Linked DNA regions of Stegostoma tigrinum. The protein of the gene in region 3 binds, or shares a complex with, the protein of the main gene of each other region. Links are inferred from orthologs where the notes say so. Each region holds a gene or a part of one and is shown on either strand. Other genes may lie near its edges. The genes, in order: basic helix-loop-helix ARNT-like protein 1, CLOCK-interacting pacemaker-like and clocka.

Region 1 (7,140 bases), on a different chromosome or scaffold from region 3:
GTATAGAAAAAGGTGAATTGCATGTGTCTTTTCCCTAGGGTAGGGGTTTCGAGAACTGGGGACATTTTTAAGGTGAGTGGAGGAAGATTTAAAGATGACACAAGGGGCAACTTTTGTTTTTAAAAATGCAGAGAATAGTTCACGTGTGGAATGAGCTTCCAGACGAAGTGATGGATGCGAGTTCAGTTACACAGTACTTAAAAGGCATTTGGATAAGTACATGAATAGGAAAGGTTTGGAGGGATATGGACCAAGCACAAGCAGATGGGACAAATTTATTTGAGATTATAGTCGCCACGGACTGGTCGGAATGAAGAGTCGGTGTCCATGCTGTATGACTGTAACTCTAAGCTAATTATCATTGGTGTTGTTGAGATAGTAAACTGAATTCTCAGCTAGGGGTCATGCAAGATACCAAGCCTACATAAATGCTTGGTCAAACCTCATGTAGATACCAGGGTGAGGACAGAATCAGTGATTAGACAATTTGTGGAAAATTAGTATATTCAGATTGAAGGCTTCTGGATACCATTTTAATAATGAAGGACAGCAGCACAAAACATTTTGTTGGTTCATTCTCAGCATGTAGGTGTCCCTGGCATGGTTGGCATATGACTGTGGTTTGCCAAACCATTTCAGAGGGCAGTTAGTGTGGAATTAGAGTTTGTAGGCAAGGCAACTGGGGGGGCAAAAGGGCGTGTGCTTAAGCTTCTTGAAATACATTCAACTAGAGTGGACTGCCATAGTGTTGAACTGGGGTCACATATACACCAAGAAAGGCAAGAATGACAAGTTCCCTTCCGTTCTAAAGGCCTTTAATAAACCAGTTACGTTTTTACAATAGTCCATGCACACTTTGACTGGCCAGTTTTTTAAAAAATATCCTGATTATTGTTTTAATTGAATTTAATTCTCAGAATACTATGGTGGGATCTGAAATTGCATTGTCAATATCATTAGTCCAGATTTCAACGTAACTTGACATGGCTCATACCTGATGGAAGGGGCCAGTGTTGGAGTGCAAGGATAGAAAAGGTTGTTTGAACCAAAGTCTGGTTGGGTCCATTCTTGGAGCTTTCATGACTAGTTACCCAACATGCACACCTTGGCAGTACTATGTCTCGCCAGCCAAAATAAACAGATATTTCGTTACCTTATTCAGAATCCTTCGTCCCTCTTCCTCCTATGCCCGATTGTCCCCTCAACACCCTCCACTATAAATTTATTGTCCCTCTGGTTATTTTTTCTACGAGGTGGCTCACATTTCTATCCTGAAGATTAAACTGGGAAATTCTGGTGATTTGTGAATTTCACCAAGACTACATTATTGTTAACCTACTACACAGGAAGTTCCCTCACTATGCGGGGAAACAACTATTCATTTTAAGAGGATGTCCTACAACTGATTATAATGCTGCAGACTTTGAAAACAGGTACTGTTCTCCCCAGATTGAACAATAAGTATCAATCAGAACTGGTCCAAGAAGGTGGGCACCAACAGAGGTTAATCCACCATATCTAACCAGACTGGAGGGAGGGACGTGTGGACTACTTTGCACAGCTGGATGACGGATGTAACGACAAACACCATTCTTATCCTCCTTTTCCAGAAGATTTCTGGGAAATTCATCTCTTGCCAAGAGATAATCAACCAAGTTCTAGTCGACAAGTGCAATGGGGAATCCAATCAGAGTTTGACAGTGAGAATATCAACCAAAGGAGAAGATAAAAAACAACAAAAGCTGTTTGCACATAGAACAACTGGCTCAGAAGTGAAGGGAAAATAAGACAAAAAGAGAGCTGACATGCATAAGACCATTAGATATTGGAGCAGAATTAGGCCATTTAGCCCACTGAATCTGCTCCAACATTCAATCGTGGCTGATGTGTCTCTACTCCATTCTCCGGCCTCCTTTCCATAACTTTTGATCCCCTTACTGATCAAGAACCTATCTGTCGTCTTTAATACACTCAATGACCTGTCCTCAACAGTGTTCTGCTAAAATGGGTTCCATGGATTTACCAGCCTCTGGCTGAAGAAATTACTTGTCTCATTCAAGAGGATAGTTGATTACAAAGAAAAAGAAGTTGGCTGTTCATATAATGCAACAGTTAATGATATTTGGAAAAAAACTACACTTTATTACTGCAAAGGAAGTGAACTCAGAAACAGACCATAAAACCATAGTTAGACGTATAGATTTTACAGGTTCCCCCAAAACCATGACCTCCACAACCTGGAGAGACAAGACCAGCAAATATATGGGAATACCAAGTCACACACCATTGTGGCTTTGCTGTGTATTGCTGCTCTTTCATCATTGCAAAGTCAAAATCATCGAACTCTCTGTCAGGCAATACTATTCGAGCACCTTTTCTGAAGAAGGGTCTAGGCCCAAAACATCAGCTTTTGTGCTCCTAAGATTCTGCTTGGCCTGCTGTGTTCATCCAGCTCCACACTTTGTTATCTACTATTCGAGCACCTTCACTCCATGGACTGCAATGGTTCAAGGCAGCAGTTATCACCACTAGGGATAACTGAGGAGGAGCAATAAATGCTGGACATACCATCCACACACATCCCAAGAAAAATGTTGTTGAAAGAATGATTAAACTTCATATTTTCAGCATTCACATATGCGCATTGTTATGGTTCAAGTTAACCTCATAGCAATTGAATCAAACACCTGTATTTATGATGTCAACGCATGTTTCAGGACAGCTTCGTACACTAAGTTTATGGTATTACTACGGCAGTACTCAAAAGTTCTTGCATAAGCTATACACACTCAATATGGATTCTGAATAACAATATGCCAGGGAGCTTGGAGGAAGTTTAAAAAAAACTAATTACCAGAGCCATTTGTGTTGCCAAGATACATTAAAGGCCGTCTGAATACATGCCATACAGGCGACTTCTTTTGTGAAATCTGAGCAAATGCCAACTGTGGTGCCGTGGAAACGCTACAGTTTATCTCATAGGCTGTCCCTTCTCTTTCTGCTAATTCACACAGCAATCAAACCTTCAGCAGACTTGCAAAAGGGAACTCACGCAGCAAGGCCTGATTTTCTCATCGCTCGATTGTTGAAGGAGCAGTCACATGACTGGCTTAATCATACACCAAAGCTGATTATATCGTGGGGCTAACACCTCTACTGAGCAATAAATCAAGGTCAGTCCTAAAGTAGGTCAGATGAATCAGCTGCTCAGGAAAGAATCAGTGCCACCATCACTGCTAAATTAACCCTTGTCTCACACAATGAGCTTTGACAGGTGATGTTACACTCAAAGATATAGAACATAGAACATAGAACAGTACAGCACAGAACAGGCCCTTCAGCCCACAATGTTGTGCCGACCATTGATCCTCATGTATGCACCCTCAAATTTCTGTAACCATATACATGTCCAGCAGTCTCTTAAATGACCCCAATCACCTTGCTTCCACAACTGCTGCTGGCAATGCATTCCATGCTCTCACAACTCTCTGCGTAAAGAACCTGCCTCTGACATCCCCTCTATACTTTCCACCAACCAGCTTAAAACTATGACCCCTCGTGCTAGCCATTTCTGCTCTGGGAAATAGTCTCTGGCTATCAACTCTATCTATGCCTCTCATTATCTTGTATACCTCAATTAGGTCCCCTCTCCTCCTCCTTTTCTCCAATGAAAAGAGACCGAGCTCAGTCAACCTCTCTTCATAAGATAAGCCCTCCAGTCCAGGCAGCATCCTGGTAAACCTCTTCTGAACCCTCTCCAAAGCATCCACATCTTTCCTATAATAGGGCGACCAGAACTGGACGCAGTATTCCAAGTGCGGTCTAACCAAAGTTTTATAGAGCTGCAACAAGATCTCACGACTCTTAAACTCAATCCCCCTGTTAATGAAAGCCTAAACACCATATGCTTTCTTAACAACCCTGTCCACTTGGGTGGCCATTTTAAGGGATCTATGTATCTGCACACCAAGATCCCTCTGTTCCTCCACGCTGCCAAGAATCCTATCCTTAATCCTGTACTCAGCTTTCAAATTCGACCTTCCAAAATGCATCACCTCGCATTTATCCAGGTTGAACTCCATCTGCCACCTCTCAGCCCATCTCTGCATCCTGTCAATGTCCCGCTGCAGCCTACAACAGCCCTCTACACTGTCAACGACACCTCCGACCTTTGTGTCGTCTGCAAACTTGCTGACCCATCCTTCAATTCCCTCGTCCAAGTCATTAATAAAAATTACAAACAGTAGAGGCCCAAGGACAGAGCCCTATGACACAGTTCAGTCTAGATACACAAGAAAAAAAGAATCAGTAAAAGTAGCAAAGCAGGATAAGGGGGCCCATGGAAAAAGGAAACAAAGCACTGAGGTTCATTTCCAAGAAGACAACTAAAAAGCAGAGAAGATGTGTTAAGCTGGCATCAAGACTTTGTTAGATCACATGTAGAGTACTATGCAGAGACCTCTGCATTATAAAATTAGATTAACAGGCCCCAGGGAAGTTGCAAAACTAAAGTTATACAAACATATTACCAGAATTAAGAGTTCAAGTCTATCTGGAAAAAAATGGTTAGAAAAGGCTGGCGAGTAACCTTTTGGAGGCAGCATTTATGAAAATATTTGATACAGTAACTTAGTGAAGACTTGGAGAACAGTGAGATTTGGGGTGCACAGAAATCATTAAATGTTTCAGAGTAGTACAAAAAATGACATTTTCATCAATTTTGTTTCTTGTCTCCAAGGGCCTGAAATACAAATGTTGACATTATGATGGAATTTAGAGAGAACTCAGTGTAGATTCCATTAGAAGCACTGTACTTCAGAATGAATCCATTTGCCCGGGAAGGAGCACTGATTCATCAGAATGATACTAAATTATGACAATAGGCCAGGTCTGAATTCCCTTGACCAGAGAAAATCAATACAGCTGTACTTCAGATGTTTCAGATACTGGAAGAAATTGATGGTTTTCCTTTACAAACCTATTTCCTTTGCTGGGGGAAAATTCAGGCCAAGGGGGCATCACCTTAAAACTTAAACCAGTTCATTTAGAGGTGAAGCAGGAGGATTCACTTCAAAAGAATAAAAAATAGGGGCAGTAGAAACTCAGAATTCACCTCTAAAGGGTGCTGGGCCTGGTGGGGGTCCATTCATAATGTCAAAACAGAGACAGTTAGATTTTGTTGGATAAGAATAAATGAAGCTTACAGGAGAGGCTCTTATGCAATTGGACAATAGAACAGCTTTGGGGGCTGGACAACTTCATGCTGTTCCTATGAGCAACAATTTCAAAGAAGCTCTGTTAAAAGGGAAGCAAGATGATTGCAGATAATACTGGAAGCGTGAAATACCTAAAGAAATGTAAAGTCTATGCTTAATCTCATTCACTTTTAACAACTACCTTGTGATGTGCGCAAGCTTTCATGATGTAGACATGCGCTGCAAGCAAAGGAAAGACATTCAGCAGTTCTCAGATTATTACATATTGGAAAAAAATCAACGACTAATCAGTGCTTTCACAAGTAGGTACAGGAGTCAAATAAGTGGGGCAGTAACTAGGGAGAGAGATAGTGCCTAATCCTAACAACCACAGGACATTTGCAAATTAAAGTCCATGGTGGAACAGAATTTCCCCAATCCTTGGAGCCCAGTTTTTCAAATTTGTATTTATGACAGAAATGTTGCAATGTAGGAAATACAGAAGTCAATTTGCACACAGCAAGTTTCTACAAAAAGCACTGTGATAATCAGCCTTCTGCATTTGTAAGCACTGCTTGAGTGTTAAACTATTGGTCAGGACAACAGGGAGCATGCTCATGCGGCTCCTGGAAACATGCCATGGAATTTATTCCCCCACCCGAGAGGCAGAGGCCGCGAGTGTCCTCTTAAAGATGAAACCTCCAAAAGCGCTGCATTCTGTCAGTACAAATGTGCAAGATGTTTGTATTCATAAATCTCCGGGGAGTGACCTATCGACTCAGGAGCCGGGGGGGGGGGGGGTGGTGGTAACCTCCTGAGCCATGGCTGACATCAAACATCATAACTAATGGGAACATTTCTCAGCTTACAAGCATTTCCCTGAAAATATCAAATGCAGCTCATCTTTGAACTTAACGTGCAGCTTTTTTTCTTCAGAATGACATTCCGACTCCCACATCAAACTTGCCCACACATCCAGAATTCAAATTATTCACTGCCTTCATAAATATGAATACTCAGGAAAACCAGAAAAATGGATAAGAAATTGCTCGGCAAAATGGAAGCAATGGGCATCACTGGAAAACAGTACTGAGGGTTGGCAATGTTAATGCATAATATTAATACAAATATCTTAGAGATAACTTTTATGTCAATTCATCTGGCACTACGATTTCCCTCACCACACTATATCATTCAACTTCTTAACAAAACAAACTGGAGCAGGAAGCTGCAACATCTTTCAGGACTCAACACTGCGTGGAGCTGAAGGAATACAGCAGGTCAGGCAGCAGAGATGCAGGAAACATTTATGTTTTGGGTTTACACAATTCAAATCGAGGCTCATCAATCCTGCAGATCAGCTGCAGCTAAACGAATAACACTCTTAGCTTTGAATTAGAAAACTGTGGGTCCAACTCCATTCAAAAGACAGTAACATTCCCAGTGCAGTACTGAAGGAATACTCACTTTAAGGTCCCAATCATTACAGGATATGCTTTAAAGCAACATTCTTGTTGAATGCAAAAGATTCAGGACGTTAGTCCAGTAAGAATTTAGGAAGGCAATACTCTTCCCTTTACCAAATTCACCAAAACTCTCTCATCATTATAACAACGCTGTTTGTGGGAGGGGGCTGCACACAAATCACATGATATAACAATGGCTATAAAAATACTTCATCAGCTGTAAAGTGCCTTAGAATTCCCTGAAGTCAAGAAAGATGTTAAATAATGGCAAATCTCTTAGCACCTTCCCTCTCTCCCTCACTTTTGATCGTTCACATTGTCCATAATGGGCTTTGCATATAAATATTTAATTAACTACACGTGCAGTTACTGGTGGTGATTAGTGTTTAAAAGAAAGAATAAAAAACACAAAGGAAAGTTACAGTAAATTTTAGCAATGGGAAAGTCGTTCTGCTATAATCAAAAAGAAAACAATAAAT
Region 2 (7,580 bases), on a different chromosome or scaffold from region 3:
TCCACATCCCCATGAGACCGTCACATTCCCTACACCATCAATTCCACACCACCATGAGATCCCCACATTCTCTACACTATCAATTCCACACCCCCATGAGATCCCCACATTATCTACACCATCAATTCCACATCCCCATGAGACCCTCACATTCCCTACACCATCAATTCCACATCCCCATGAGACCGTCACATTCTCTACACCATCAATTCCACACCACCATGAGATCCCCACATTCTCTACAACATCAATTCCACACCCCCATGAGATCCCCACATTCAATTCCACACCACCATGAGATCCCCACATTCTCTACACCATCAATTCCACACCCCCATGAGATCCCCACATTCTCTACACCATCAATTCCACACCCCCATGAGATCCCCACATTATCTACACCATCAATTCCACATCCCCATGAGACCCTCACATTCTCTACACCATCAATTCCACATCCCCATGAGACCGTCACATTCTCTACACCATCAATTCCACACCACCATGAGATCCCCACATTCTCTCCACCATCAGTTCCACACCCCCATGAGATCCCCACATTCTCCACACCATCAATTCCACATCCCCATGAGATCCCCACATTCTCTACCCCCTCACTCCCTGCACCTTGGGATCCCCACATTCTCTACCCCCTCACTCCCCCCACCAATGGGATCCCCAAATTCTCTACCCCTCCACTCCCTGCCATGGGATCCCCACATTCTCCACCCCCTCACTACCACCACCTTGGGATCCCAACATTCTCTACCCCCTCACTCCCCCACATTGGATCCCCACATTCTCTACCCCCTCACTCCCACCACCATGGGATCCCCACATTCTCTACTCCCTCATTCCCCACCATGGGATCCCCACATTCTCTACCCCCTCACTACACCCCGCCCCATTGGATCCCCACATTGTCTACCCCTCATTCCCCCCCGATGGGATTCCCACATTCTTTACCCCTCATTCCCCCCAACGGATCCCCACATTCTCTACCCCCTCACTCCCCGCCATGGGCTCCCCACATTCTCTACCCCCTCACTACACATCCCCCCAATGGGATCCCCACATTCTCTATGCCCACATTCGCTACCCCCTCATTCCTGCCATGGGATCCCCACATTCTCTACCCCCTCACTCCCCCCCCATGGGATCCCCACATTCTCTACCCCCAGATTCTCTACCCCCTCACTACACCTACCCCGATGAGATCCCCACATTCTCTACCCCCTCACTACGCCTCCCGCCGATGAGATCCCCACATTCTCTACCCCCTCACTACACCCCCCCCGATGGGATCCCCACATTCTCTACCCCCTCACTATACCTCTCCCCGATGGGATCCCCACATTCTCTACCCCCACATTCTCTACCCCCTCATTACAACCCCTGATGGGATCCCCACATTCTCTAACCCCTCACTACACCTCTCCCCGATGGGATCCCCACATTCTCTACCCCCTCACTACACCTCCCCCCGATGAGATCCCCACATTCTCTACCCCCTCATTCTCTACCCCCACATTCTCTACCTCCTCATTCTCTACCCCCTCACTACACCACCCCCGATGGGATCCCCACATTCTCTACCCCCTCACTACACCTCCCCTGATGGGATCCCCACATTCTCTACCCCCTCACTACTCCTCCCCCGATGAGATCCCCACATTCTCTACCCCCACATTCTCTACCCCTTCATTCTCCACCCCTCACTACACCCTCCCGATGGGATCCCCACATTCTCTATGCCCAAATTCTCTACCCCCTCATTCCTGCCATGGGATCCCCACATTCTCTACCCCCTCACTCCCCCCCATGGGATCCCCACATTCTCTACCCCCTCACTACACCAACCCCGATGAGATCCCCACATTCTCTACCCCCACATTCTCTACACCCTCACTACACCTCCCTCCGATGGGATCCCCACATTCTCTACCCCCTCACTACGCCTCCCGCCGATGAGATCCCCACATTCTCTACCCCCTCACTACACCCCCCCCCGATGGGATCCCCACATTCTCTACCCCCACATTCTCTACCCCCACATTCTCTACCCCCTCACTACAACCCCCGATGGGATCCCCACATTCTCTACCCCCTCACTACACCTCCCCCCGATGAGATCCCCACATCCTCTACCCCCTCATTCTCTACCCCCACATTCTCTACCTCCTCATTCTCTACCCCCACATTCTCTACCCCCTCACTACACCCCCCCAATGGGATCCCCACATTCCCTACCCCCTCACTACACCCCCCCGATGGGATCCCCACATTCTCTACCCCTCACTACACCTCCCCCGATGAGATCCCCACATTCTCTACCCCCTCACTACACCCCCCCGATGGGATCCCCACATTCTCTACCCCCTCACTACACCTCCCCCCGATGAGATCCCCACATTCTCTACCCCCTCACTACACCCCCCGATGGGATCCCCACATTCTCTACCCGCTCATTCTCTACCCCCACATTCTCTACCCCTTCATTCTCCACCCCCTCACTACACACCCCCCAATGGGATCCCCACATTCTCTACCCCCTCACTAAACCCCCCCCGATGAGATCCCCACATTCTCTACCCCCTCACTACACCCCCCGATGGGATCCCCACTTTCTCTACCCCCTCATTCTCTACCTCCTCATTCTCTATCCCCACTTTCTCTACCCCCTCATTCTCTACCTCCTCATTCTCTATCCCCACTTTCTCTACCCCCTCATTCTCTACCTCCTCATTCTCTATCCCCACATTCTCTACCCCCTCACTCCCGGGCAAGGGGCGGGGGGTGTACTCCGCCTTCCGATCTCTGTCTCCTCCCCCACCCCGAGATACCGGTCGTTCCCCGGTCTCTGTGCCCGACGTTGGGGGGGGGGGTGGAAGATGTTTATCCTCCGGACCCCAATGTTTTAATCCACCCCCTCCCCAGTCACGGGGGATGGAGGCTATTCCTACCTTCTCCACCCCCTCGATCGTCCCGGTCGCCTCCACCGCTTCTCACCCAAACCTGCAGCAGATTCTCCCGACCCCACCCCACAACGGGCTACCTCACTGAATGACAACGGCTCCGACCAATGGAGAGTGAAGTCCTCCGTCCCTCTCCACCAATCCAAGGAGGCGGGACCGCCCTCCGGTTCCCGCCCCCGCCCGGCGAGTTAGGTTGCGCTCCCCTCCGCCGCCCCGTGCGCGGCCTCGTGAGCGCGGCGTGATTGACAGGCCGTCTCCATGGCGACCCCGGCCAGGCGTCCGCACGCGCCGCTCTCCCCCGAGGCCTTGCAACGTGAGCAAGAGGCCACGTGGAAAGACGCAGCAGTTGGTGCATGCGACCCTGCGCAGGCAGCCGTGCAAACCGAGCAATGCAACCGGCAGGGCCCTACAGGAATAGCTGTACTTCAGTACCTAGTTGCACCAGGTCCCACATGCGAACACTGTGCAAAGGGGGCAAATCAGTGTAGAACCTCCAATCGGAACATAAGAACTAGGAGTAGGCCGTCCGGCCCCTCGAGCCTGCCCCGCCATTTAATAAGGTCAACGCTGATCTTTTTGAGACTCAGCTCCACTTAACCGCCCACCCACCATAACCCTTAATTCGTTTACAGTTCAAAAATTTATCTAACCTTGCCTTAAAAACGTTCAGCGAGGTTCAATGGCTTCACTGGGCTGGGAATTCCACAGATTCACAACCCTTTTGTGAAGAAGTTCCTCCTGACCTCAGTCCCTTTATTTTCCTTTGCTTTCCCTTTATTTTGAGGCCATAGTGGTGGTCATATTGGGCAACAGATTGGTTACCGAGTTGGAAACCGAACATAGGGTGGCACGGTGGCTCAGTAGTTAGCACTGCAGCCTCACAGCGCCAGGGACCTGGGTTCAATCCCAGCCTCAGGCAACTGCCTGTGTGGAGTTTGCACACTCTCCCCGTGTCTGCATGGGTTTCCTCCCACAGTCCAAAAATGTGCAGGCTAGGTGGACCGGCCATGCTAAATTGCCTGTAGTGCTCGGGGTGTGTGGGTTATAGGGGAATGGGTCTGGGTGGGATGCTTCAAGGGGTAGCATGGACTTGTTGGGCCGAAGGGCCTGTTTTCACACTGTTAATCTAATCTAATAACAAGTTAGAAGTAGGTCCCTGGATTCTGCTCTCCTATTTATTAATGACGTGGAGGTGCCAGTGTTGGAAAGGAATGGTCAAGCCCAGAAATCATGCCACACCAGGTTATAGTCCGACAGGTCCATTTGGAAAGAAGGAATAAGACTCCAAAAGCTTGTGTTTTCTTTGGACTATGCCCTGGTATGGTGTGAATTCTGACCATTTATTAAGATTAAGGCTCTTGAGTACTGGACATGTGAACCAGAAGGTTTAAGTTTGAGTGTGTAACATTAACTTTGACTAGGTTGATTAGAAAATTTATTCAGAACTTTTTTCCCTTTATTCATTTACAGGATGAGGGCATCGCCAGCTCTGCAGCATTTATTGCCCATCCATAATTGCAGTTAATAATCAACTGCATTGCTGTAGGTCTGGAGGCACATGTGGGTCAGAGCAGGTAAGGATGGCAGTTCCTTCCATAAAGGACATTAGTGAACCAGAAACAAACACAAATTTGCTGGAAAAGCTCAGCAGGTCTGGCAGCATCTGTGAAGGAGAAAACAGAGTTAACGTTTCGGGTCCGGTGACCCTTCCTGATTTACAGTATCCACAGTTTTTTTGGTTTTTATGTAGTGAACCAGATATGTTTTTCAGCAATGGATTCACAGCCATCATTAGATTCTTAATTCCAGATATTTATTGAATTCAAATTTCACCATCTGCCGTGGAAAGATTCAATCCTGGGTCCCCAGAACATTATCTGGGTTTCTGGATTAACAGCACAGTAATAATACCACTAGGCCATCACTTCCCCCTTTTCGGAGGAGAATGAGATTGATAAATATGTAAATGGTAAAGGAATCAAGAGCTATGGGGAAAAGGCAAGAAAGTGGAGTTTAGAATTAGATTTAATTGTCACATACTTGAGTATAGGAGTATAGTAAAAAATGTACAGTGTTTGCTCTGGCCCCATCTTGGTCACAAAAAATAGCCAAAAGGTAGGAAAACTTCTAGATCTTAAAGTCTAAAGTTTTATCTCCGTAAATGTGCCTCACAATCTCATTGAATGGCAGAGCAGGCTCGATGGGCTAAATGGCCTATATCTACTTCTTTGTCTATCTTATTTCACATTTCCATCTCTTCCTCATTCTGACAGAGGTGACTATAGTGTTGGGAGCCAAGAGACCCCAGCTAAAGGCCACTCTTGCTCTTCCCATTGGTGCTAAAGTGATATACATCAAAACACACTTCTTACACATCAATCCTTGCATTCAGCTCTCAGATTTTAATTATTGGATGCCAATTTGCTTGTTGGTCAGGCAGTAATCCAAAAATTATTGCCTGTGTGGTAACACTTATTAGTTTAATCCCTTGCTGTTCATTCGTGCTTAGCAGAACCTCTTTTCTGGCTAAAGGCAGGAATTCCAAAGCTTTGAACACAGAAGACTAAAGGTTAGGTATCTGTTGGTGAGGTTTCAGCAACTGAGCAGATTACTGGTCCCGCTGTAAACCTAGGGAACGTACATACTCCTTCATATTTTAAACATTTGTCATCAACTGTTCACACACACCTCTGAAGCAAGTGGGATTTGAGTGCAGGTCACTATCCCTTAACAGTAGCCTATACACCTTCACTCGCATACTCACCATCCTGTTTAGTTGCATCAATTCAAAACATTTTACCCCCCTCCCAACACCAGCTTTAATACACATTATAGATGTTGCAAATTGCTGAGGCCTCAACTTCCATATAAGATCCCTGTGTATCTCCAAATTCAGGTGCATAGACAGCCCCTTATCCTCACCAGCTAAATGCAGCATTCCCACAGACACCTGCGAATCCCTGGCCCAAGACTGTCCAAAGTGAAGGAGGTGCATCCAGGAAGGCGTCAAGCATCTCGAGATTTGTTGTTGGAGAAAATGGAAGCCAGCTGGACCAAGGACCAAGCTGCCACAACAACACCCTACACACCCCATGGGATTCCCACATTCTCTACCCCATGCCACGACCAGCTTCTGACCCCAAGTGTGAAAGATCCTGCGGGAGCCCCATTGGTCTGTACAGCCACCTCCGGACTCACCCTTAGAGTCATCCTCGTCTGTGAGGGACCGTCAGTGACAATGATCCCTTCAGCATGGCCCCTGAAAACATTTTCCACAAACTCCACATCCGTGACCCCAGTAGTCTCAAATATGCCTCCTCCTATTCACATGGCTAATAAGTTTGGAAAGCCAACCCTGGCCTCCAGCAGTCTGAGCGCTTATGCAAGCTTCCTCTGTAATCCCAAAAAAATACTATTCAGCATAGTTGCACTATCGCCTGCCCAATGGTGCATCTCAAAAGCCCTGATTGTTTGAAGCCACGTGTATTTATAGAGGCCTCGTCAGATAGTTAGAATCCCATTGACTGTTCTAACCTTTTATTTTTAAAACAGGGTTAACTGCACATTATATTCCTGTCCATTGCTCATTCACTTGGAATTATCTGCTATGTGGGTCACTGATTTTTATTCAACCTAGAACAGCTACAGCACTAAAGGAGGCCACTTGGCCCATCGTGTCTCGGTTGACTCTCTGGGAGAACCTCCCCCACCCTTTTTCCCCATACTTTGTACATAGTCAATCTTTCTAATTCACTTGTGGAATGCAGAAAATCACAGACTGGGCCAGTATTTACTGCCCATCCTTAGATGCCCTTGAGAAGTCAGTGGTGAGTTGACATCTTGAACTGTGCTCTAGGTAGACTCACAATGCCCTTAAGGAGGGAATTCCAGGATTTTGAGCCACAGATGGCAAAAGGACAGAAATATATTTCCAAGTCAGGGTGGTTGCAGTTTGGCAGGTATTTTCCTTCAGTTCTCATGAAGGGTCTAGGCCCGAAACGTCAGCTTTTGTGCTCCTAAGATGCTGCTTGGCCTGCTGTGTTCATCCAGCCCCACACTTTGTTAGCTCTGAGCTTTTCCACCAACTTTGTTTTTGTTCCTGTTTATTTTCCTTGCAGTGGTGTTCCCATGTATATGCTGCCCTTGTCCTTCCAGATGGAAGTGATTGTTGGTTAGGGAGGTGCTAAGGATTTTTGGCAAATTTCTCCACTGCATCTTGTAAGTGGTATTGGGTGTCAGTGATGGAGGGAAGGATGTGATGCCAATAAAACGGGCTGCTTTGTCCTGGACGGTGCCAAGCTTCTCAAGTTGTTGGAGCTACACTCATCCAGGCAATTGGGGAGTATTCCGTCACACTCCTGACTTGTGCCTAGTAGATGGTGGACAGTCTTTGGGGATCACTGCAAGATTCCTTGCCTCCGTCCTCATCCATTAATAAATACATTGTCTTCCCACCCCCACCTCTGTCAGTAGTACCTCTATCCTGAACTCCCCTTTGGCCAGTTCCCTTCACATCTCTTCCTGAATTCAGGGAAGGAAGTTTGGACAGGTGGGGCATAAATCTATTGGAGTTAAGAATGAGAGGTGACCTCATTGAAACATATA
Region 3 (7,008 bases):
TCGATCACCGTGGGGGGAAAGTTGCGGTCCTTTAAGAACTTGGACATCTGGGATGTGCGGGAGTGGAATGTCTTGTCGTGGGAGCAGATGCGGCGGAGGCGGAGGAATTGGGAATAGGGGATGGAATTTTTGCAGGAGGGTGGGTGGGAGGAGGTGTATTCTAGGTAGCTGTGGGAGTCGGTGGGCTTGAAATGGACATCAGTTACAAGCTAATCTCAGGCAACCAGCTTGTAACTGATGTCCATTTCAACCAGCTTGTAACTGATGTCCATGTCCAAGCAAAAAACAACTGCACCTCCCAGTCGCAAACCATTTCCACTCCCCCTCCCATTCTCTTGATGACATGTCCATCATGGGCCTCCTGCACTGCCACAATGATGCCACCCGAAGGTTGCAGGAACAGCAACTCATATTCCGCCTGGGAACCCTGCAGCCATATGGTATCAATGTGGACTTCACCAGTTTCAAAATCTCCCCTTCCCCTACTGCATCCCTCAACCAGCCCAGTTCGTCCCCTCCCCCCACTGCACCACACAACCAGCCCAGCTCTTCCCCCCCAACCACTGCATCCCAAAACCAGTCCAACCTGTCTCTGCCTCCCTAACCGGTTCTTCCTCTCACCCATCCCTTCCTCCCACCCCAAGCCGCACCCCCCGCTACCTACTAACCTCATCCCACCTCCTTGACCTGTCCGTCTTCCCTGGACTGACCTATCCCCTCCCTACCTCCCCACCTACACTCTCTCCACCTATCTTCTTTACTCTCCATCTTCGGTCCGCCTCCCCCTCTCTCCCTATTTATTCCAGTTCCCTCCCCCCATCCCCCTCTCTGATGAAGGGTCTAGGCCCGAAACGTCAGCTTTTGTGCTCCTGAGATGCTGCTTGGCCTGCTGTGTTCGTCCAGCCTCACATTTTATTATCTTGGAATCTCCAGCATCTGCAGTTCCCATTATCTCTGAGCGTATAAGTGTGTACTCAGTTTAGGTCCATTTTATGTAAAATGTGCTGTAACAACTAGCAAACCCCTTTGACAGCACCTTTCAAACCAGAGACAAGGGCAACAGATATGATGGAACACTACTCTGCATATTGCCCTCCAAACAATCCAAACCTAGAACTTTACACCCTTCCTAACAGCACTGTGAATGTCTTTCAGAGATAATGGGAACTGCAGATGCTGGAGAATCCAAGACAACAAAGTGTGAAGCTGGATGAACACAGCAGGCCAAGCAGCATCTCAGGAGCACAAAAGCTGACGTTTCGGGCCTAGGCCGGGGTGGGGGGGGGCATGGGGAGAGGGTTCTGAAATAAATAGGGGGGAGATGGAGAGAGGGTTCTGAAATAAATAGGGACCGGGGGGGGGGGGGGGTGAAGAGGTGGACCGAAGACGGGAGAGAAAAGAAGATAGGTGGAGAGGAGAGTACAGGTGAAGAGGTAGGGAAGGGATAAGTCAGTCCAGGGAGGACGGATAGGTCAAGGAGGCGGGATGAGGTTAGTAGGTAGGAAATGGAGGTGTGGCTTGAGGTGGGAGGAAGGGATAGGTGGGAGAAAGAACAGGTTAGGGAGGCAGGGACAAGCCGGGCTGGTTTTGGAATGCAGTGGGGGGAGGGGACGAGCTGGGCTGGTTTTGGGATGCAGTGGGGGAAGGAGAGATTTTGAAGCTGGTGAAGTCCACATTGATACCATTGGGCTGCAGGGTTCCCAAGCGGAATATGAGTTGCTGCTCCTGCAACCTTCGGGTGGCATCGCTGTGGCACTGCAGGATGGACATGTCGTCTAAGGAATGGGAGGGGGGAGTTAAAATGGTTTGCGACTGGGAGGTGCAGTTGTTTGTTGCGAACCGAGCAGAGGTGTTCTGCAAAGCGGTCCCCAAGCCTCCACTTGGTTTCCCCAATGTAGAGGTAGCCACACCGTGTACAACGGATACAATATACCACATTGGCAGATGTTCGCCTGCACATCGGCTTAACATGGAAAGTCACCTTGGGGCCTGGGATGGGGTGACTGCGTGGACTACGAAGGCTCTTGAATGCCGGTCAAACCATCACTGCTTAAAGAATACGGCAGCAATAAATGCTGTCCCCATCCTTGAGTGACTGTCCTCTTAAAAAAAATCAGTGCAAAACATTTGACAATGCTTTTGTTATATCAGTGTCATTAAGCTCTTTGCAGCTGGGGAAGCTTAAAAATCAATGGTACAAAACTGAAAAAATACATTTGTTGTTTTGTATGGATGGATGCATGTAATTTATTGCTAAGTCGGTCACGAAACCTTTAGACATCTGAATGTTCTTTTAAAAAAATTAATACTACTGCTACGAAAAAAATGTCCATTTCATAAGCAGCGAATAGAAGACCGAAAAACAATAGTCAAACACCTACCCCAACAAAAATCAGAATACACATGCGCTGTGTGGCGCTTCAACAACAGGACACACAAATAGGCAGTCGGCGGAGAGCCCGACATCAGGCAAGTACCAGAGGACCAGACACTGAAATAAAATCCTCACAGTTGAATGAAAGGATTCCACACGCCGTTCAGTCACCTTTACTTCATTTCTCTCTCCTCCCCACCAACAGATTCAGTCTATACCCTCCGTCTCCATCCCTCCTCTTCTCTTCCTCACTCGAATGAATGAAGCCGGTTGCCCTGGCTCCGTAGGGAATCAGAGATAACAAGGTGTAGAGCTGGATGAACACAGCAGGCCAAGCAGCACAGGAGCAGGAAAGCTGACTTTTCGTGTCTGGGCCCTTCCTCAGAAAACGGGTGGGGGGGGGGGGGGCTCTGAAATAAAGGGGGAGGCGAATAGGATAGGTGGAGAGCACTCCAGTTCTGCTCTGATTTCACTCCTCAGAATACCGCCAGACCTGCTAATTCTCCGGCAGTTTCGGATTTTTTTTGTTATTGCCCTTCCCCCGCCGCTTGTCTCCGATTTCCAACATCCGCAGTCCTTTCGATTTTTATTTGGTTAGGAATCAGACGTTCAATCCGAGCCCGCGACTCTGCAGCGTCGCCGACGGTGACAGGCAGCCACTCAACACCGTGTCTGCGGGGCTGCACTAAATTACACCGCTTCTTGTTTTTTTAAAAAACATAGATACAAGAGCGTGCTATCCTCGAAATAAAATCATAAGTATTGATGCCCACTAAAGCAGAAGTGAACTACAATTTGTAAAACGCAGTTTTTAAAATATTTTTTAAACTAAAAGCCTACTGCGTACTACTTTTTGTATAGAGGAAAATAATTTTCATCCAACACTTACGTAACGATGTAATACCGCCGCGGGAAATTACCTGATTTTCTCTCTGATTGCAGGAAGATATCTGAAACTGAGATTTAAGCGTCCGTAATAATTTACATGATTTAATTTACCAGGTTATCCATCAGCCGTGAATACCTTCCTCTCTGCAATAACTGCCAACGCCGCTCGAGCTCAATGTTTATCTCCTCGCGCAGGCCCCGTGCGCCGGGTTCACTGGGAGAGTCCCACTGACCCAATTCTCTCCATTTGTTGTGATCGTGTGGGAGAGGAGGAGCCACTGTTGCACAAGACAGTCCCACTGACCCAATTGTCGTTTATCTCAAGAGGGTTGGAATATAAAAGCAGCGATGTGCTTCTGAGGCTTAATAAAGCTCTAGTTAGGCCCCATTTAGAATATAGTGTCCAATTTTGGGCCCCACACCTCAGTAAGGACATACTAGCCCTGGAGCGTGTACAGCGAAGATTCACACGGATGATCCCTGGAATGGTAGGTTTAGCGTATGATGCCCTGGAGCGTGTCCATCGGAGATTCACACGGATGATCCCTGGAATGGTAGATTTAACGTATGATGAACGGCTAAGGATCCTGGGATTGTACTCATGAGAGTTTTGAAGGTTGAGGGGAGATCTAATAGAAACTTACAAGATAATGTATGGTTTAGAAGGGGTGGACACTAGGAAGTTGTTTCCGTTAGGCGGGGAGACTAGGACCCGTGGGCACAGCCTTAAAATTAAAGGGGGTAAATTTAAAACTGAAATGAGATGACATTTCTTCAGCCAGAGAGAGGTGGGCTTATGGAATTCATTGCCGCAGAGTGCAGTGGACGCCGGGACGTTGGATGCCTTCAAGGCAGAGATCGACAAATTCTTGATCTCAAAAGGAATCAAGGGCTACGGGGAGAGTGCAGGGCAGTGGTGTTGAAATGCCCATCAGCCATGATTTAAATGGCGGAGTCGACTTGATGGGCCAAATGGCCTCACTTCCACTCCTGTGTCTTATGGCCTAATTGTCACCATTGTCTCCACTGCTACATGTCAACGATCTGGATCTCAGTGTGCAGGGTGCAAGCTCAAAGTCTGCAGATGGCATTAAACTTTTGAGAAATTGCAAACAGTGTGGAACTCCGAAAGGACCATTGACAAGTTAGGTGGCAGGTGAGGCCTCCATTGGGAGAAGATTGGGAGACAACATTAAGTTCGATTCAAGGCAAAGGGGATGCAAGAGCAGGGAGACCTTATCGAGACCTGCACAGACCACTGAACGTGGTAGGAGAGATGGAGGGAGCAGGTAATGGATGATGTAAAACTTGGATTTAATATGAATTGTGAAGGAGGGGTAGTGTAGAACTTCAAAATGATATAAACAAGATTGTGGAATGAGACAAGTGACAGATGAAATTTAATGAAGAGAAGGGTGAAGTGATTCATTCCAGTTGGAAGAATGCAGAAAGACAATTGACAATATCGGGTACAATTCTAAAGAAAGGCCAGGAGCAGAAGGATCTGAATGTAAATTTGCGCGCGTCATTTAAGGTTGAGAGAACCATTAATAAAATATACATCTGGGCCCTTTTCCTAGTACAAAAATGAAGGTGTTTTGTTAAGCTGAATAAAACATTGCTGCACCCACAACTGAAGCATTAGCACCAAACTTCAAGAAGAATGTGAAAGTGTTGAAGAGAGTACAGAAAAGATGTGCAAGAATGGTCCCAAGAGTAAGATTTTTCAGTTTCATATATATTGAGGAAATTGCCAGTTTTGGAGCAGTGAATGCTTTGAGGAGTTTGATAGAGGTATTCAAAATCCTGAGACATTTCGACAAAGCAGATGAGGAGAAACTTTTCCCTTTGGTGAAAGGATCAAGAACCAATGGAGTGGACACTCTGTTTCTGCTACAAGTGGTCACCTTGTAAGCCAGTGTATGAGATCAAGCAAACACATTTCAAAAACAAGTCCATGCACAAAATGCTGCTGCATAAGATAAAGGTGCATGGCATCACAGGGTAATGTATTAGCATGGATAGAGGATTTACACTGCCACAAACACTCTGGAGACAAAATTCCCAGAGGAATGATGGGTGGCGACTTCAATTAAACCAACCTCAAGCAGGCAATGCCAAAATCTAACACATCTCCTGCCACACCAGAGGACCAAATATTCTGGACCACTGCTGCACAACCATCAAAGACACCTACTGCTCAATCCCCCACCTACAGTTCAAAAAATCCAACCACAATGCCGTATTCCTCCTCCCAGCTTGCAGGCATAAGCTGAAATGGGAGAATCCTTCATGAAGTGAAGTACAGAGTTGGCCTGAGGCAGCGGAAGACCGTCTCCGGGACTGCTTGGACTCGTGAACTGGAGTATTTTCAAGTGTTCAACGGAAAACCTAGACAAGTATGCCACTACCAATCATAGACTTCATTAGCATCAAAGAAGTCAATCCAAGTGTTTCAGAACTGTAAACCTTGGATGAACCAGGAAATCCACTCCCTATCAAAAACCAGACATGCAGCATTCAGGATAATAAAGTGTGAAGCTGGATGACCACAGCAGGCCAAGCAGCATCTCAGGAGCACAAGAGCTGACGTTTCGGGCCTAGACCCTTCATCAGAGAGGGGGGTGGGGTGAGGGTTCTGGAATAAATAGGGAGAGAGGGGGAGGCGGACCGAAGATGGAGAGAAAAGAAGATAGGTGGAGAGGAGAGTATAGGTAGGGAGGGGATAGGTCAGTCCAGGGAAGATGGACAGGTCAATGAGGTGGGATGAGGTTAGTAGGTAGGAAATGGAGGTGCCCCTTGGGGTGGGAGGAAGGGATGGGTGAGAGGAAGAACAGGTTAGGGAGGCAGAGACAGGCTGGGCTGGTTTTGGGATGCAGTGGGTGGAGGGGAAGAGCTGGGCTGGTTGTGTGGTGCTGTGGGGGGAGGGGACGAACTGGGCTGGTTTTGGGATGCAGTGGGGGAAGGGGAGATTTTGAAGCTGGTGAAGTCCACATTGATTCCATTGGGCTACAGGGTTCCCAAGCAGGATATGAATTGCTGTTCCTGCAACCTTCGGGCCATGATGGACATGTCATCTGAAGAATGGGAGGGGGAATTGAAATGGTTCGCGACTGGGAGGTGCAGTTGTTTATTGCGAACCGAGTGGAGGTGTTCTGCAAAGCGGTCCCCAAGCCTCTGCTTGGTTTCCCCAAAGAAAGCCACACCCGGTACAATGGATACAGTATACCATATTGGCAGATGTGCAGGTGAACCTCTACTTAATATGGAAAGTCATCTTGGGGCCTGGGATAGGGGTGAGGGAGGAGGTGTGAGGGCAAGTGTAGCGTTTCCTGCGGTTGCAGGGGAAGGTGCTGGGTGTGGTGGGGTTGGAGGGCAGTGTGGAGTGAACAAGGGAGTCACGGAGAGAGTGGTCTCTCCGGAAAGCAGACAAGGGTGGCGATGGAAAAATGTCTTGGGTGGTGGGGTCGGATTGTAGATGGCGGAAGTGTCGGAGGATGATGCATTGTATCCGGAGGTTGGTGGGGTGGTGTGTGAGAACAAGGGGGATCCTCTTAGGGCGGTTGTGGCGGGGGCGGGGTGTGCAGGATGTGTTGCGGGAAATGCGGGAGATGTGGTTAAGGGCATTATCAACCACTGTGGGGGGAAAGTTGCGGCTCGACCACTGTGGGGGGGAAAGTTGCAGCATTCAAGTCAGGTGGCCTGGATCAAAACAGAAAATCCAATTCCAAACTTGAACTCTGCAG

What was found.
Region 1: the proteins of clocka (region 3) and basic helix-loop-helix ARNT-like protein 1 are in contact, whole or in part, in a crystal structure (PDB 4F3L), measured with the Mus musculus proteins. The link is inferred for Stegostoma tigrinum from reciprocal best matches to the Homo sapiens genes CLOCK and BMAL1. Residues at the interface, in NP_001276755.1 of Mus musculus: Arg46, Gln49, Phe50, Leu53, Ile54, Glu56, Leu57, Met60, Leu61, Pro62, Lys70, Ser71, Leu74, Gln75, Ser77, Ile78, Phe80, Leu81, Arg82, His84, Lys85, Thr88, Glu95, Ile96, Gln98, Asp99, Trp100, Pro102, Phe104, Leu105; in XP_030097882.1 of Mus musculus: Lys70, Met71, Phe74, Ile75, Glu77, Leu78, Ser80, Leu81, Val82, Asp93, Leu95, Leu98, Arg99, Ala101, Val102, His104, Met105, Lys106, Leu108, Arg109, Gly110, Ala118, Tyr120, Lys121, Pro122, Phe124, Leu125, Asp127, Asp128, Glu129.
Region 2: the proteins of clocka (region 3) and CLOCK-interacting pacemaker-like are in contact, whole or in part, in a crystal structure (PDB 5VJI), measured with the Mus musculus proteins. The link is inferred for Stegostoma tigrinum from reciprocal best matches to the Homo sapiens genes CLOCK and CIPC. Residues at the interface, in NP_001276755.1 of Mus musculus: Gln519, Leu526, Lys527, Leu530, Arg533, Ile537, Asn540, Ile541, Arg543, Gln544, Glu547, Leu548, Ile551, Gln554, Leu555, Val558; in XP_006515773.1 of Mus musculus: Asn401, Thr402, Val405, Leu406, Ser409, Leu411, Ile414, Thr415, Thr418, Leu421, Ile422, Asn425, Thr428, Gln429, Leu432, Leu435, Lys436, Thr439, Gln440, Phe442, Ile443, Thr446.

What each region holds. Positions count from the first base shown.
Region 1 is NC_081370.1:38,028,668-38,035,807, reverse strand, and holds the start of basic helix-loop-helix ARNT-like protein 1, read right to left. Parts: upstream 3,086-7,140; 5' UTR 2,883-3,085; coding exon 2,855-2,882; intron 1-2,854. UniProt on the Homo sapiens protein: Transcriptional activator which forms a core component of the circadian clock.
Region 2 is NC_081392.1:9,123,455-9,131,034, reverse strand, and holds the start of CLOCK-interacting pacemaker-like, read right to left. Parts: upstream 3,043-7,580; 5' UTR 2,964-3,042; intron 1-2,963.
Region 3 is NC_081354.1:108,804,560-108,811,567, forward strand, and holds the start of clocka (circadian locomoter output cycles protein kaput), read right to left. Parts: upstream 3,010-7,008; 5' UTR 2,546-3,009; intron 1-2,545. UniProt on the Homo sapiens protein: Transcriptional activator which forms a core component of the circadian clock.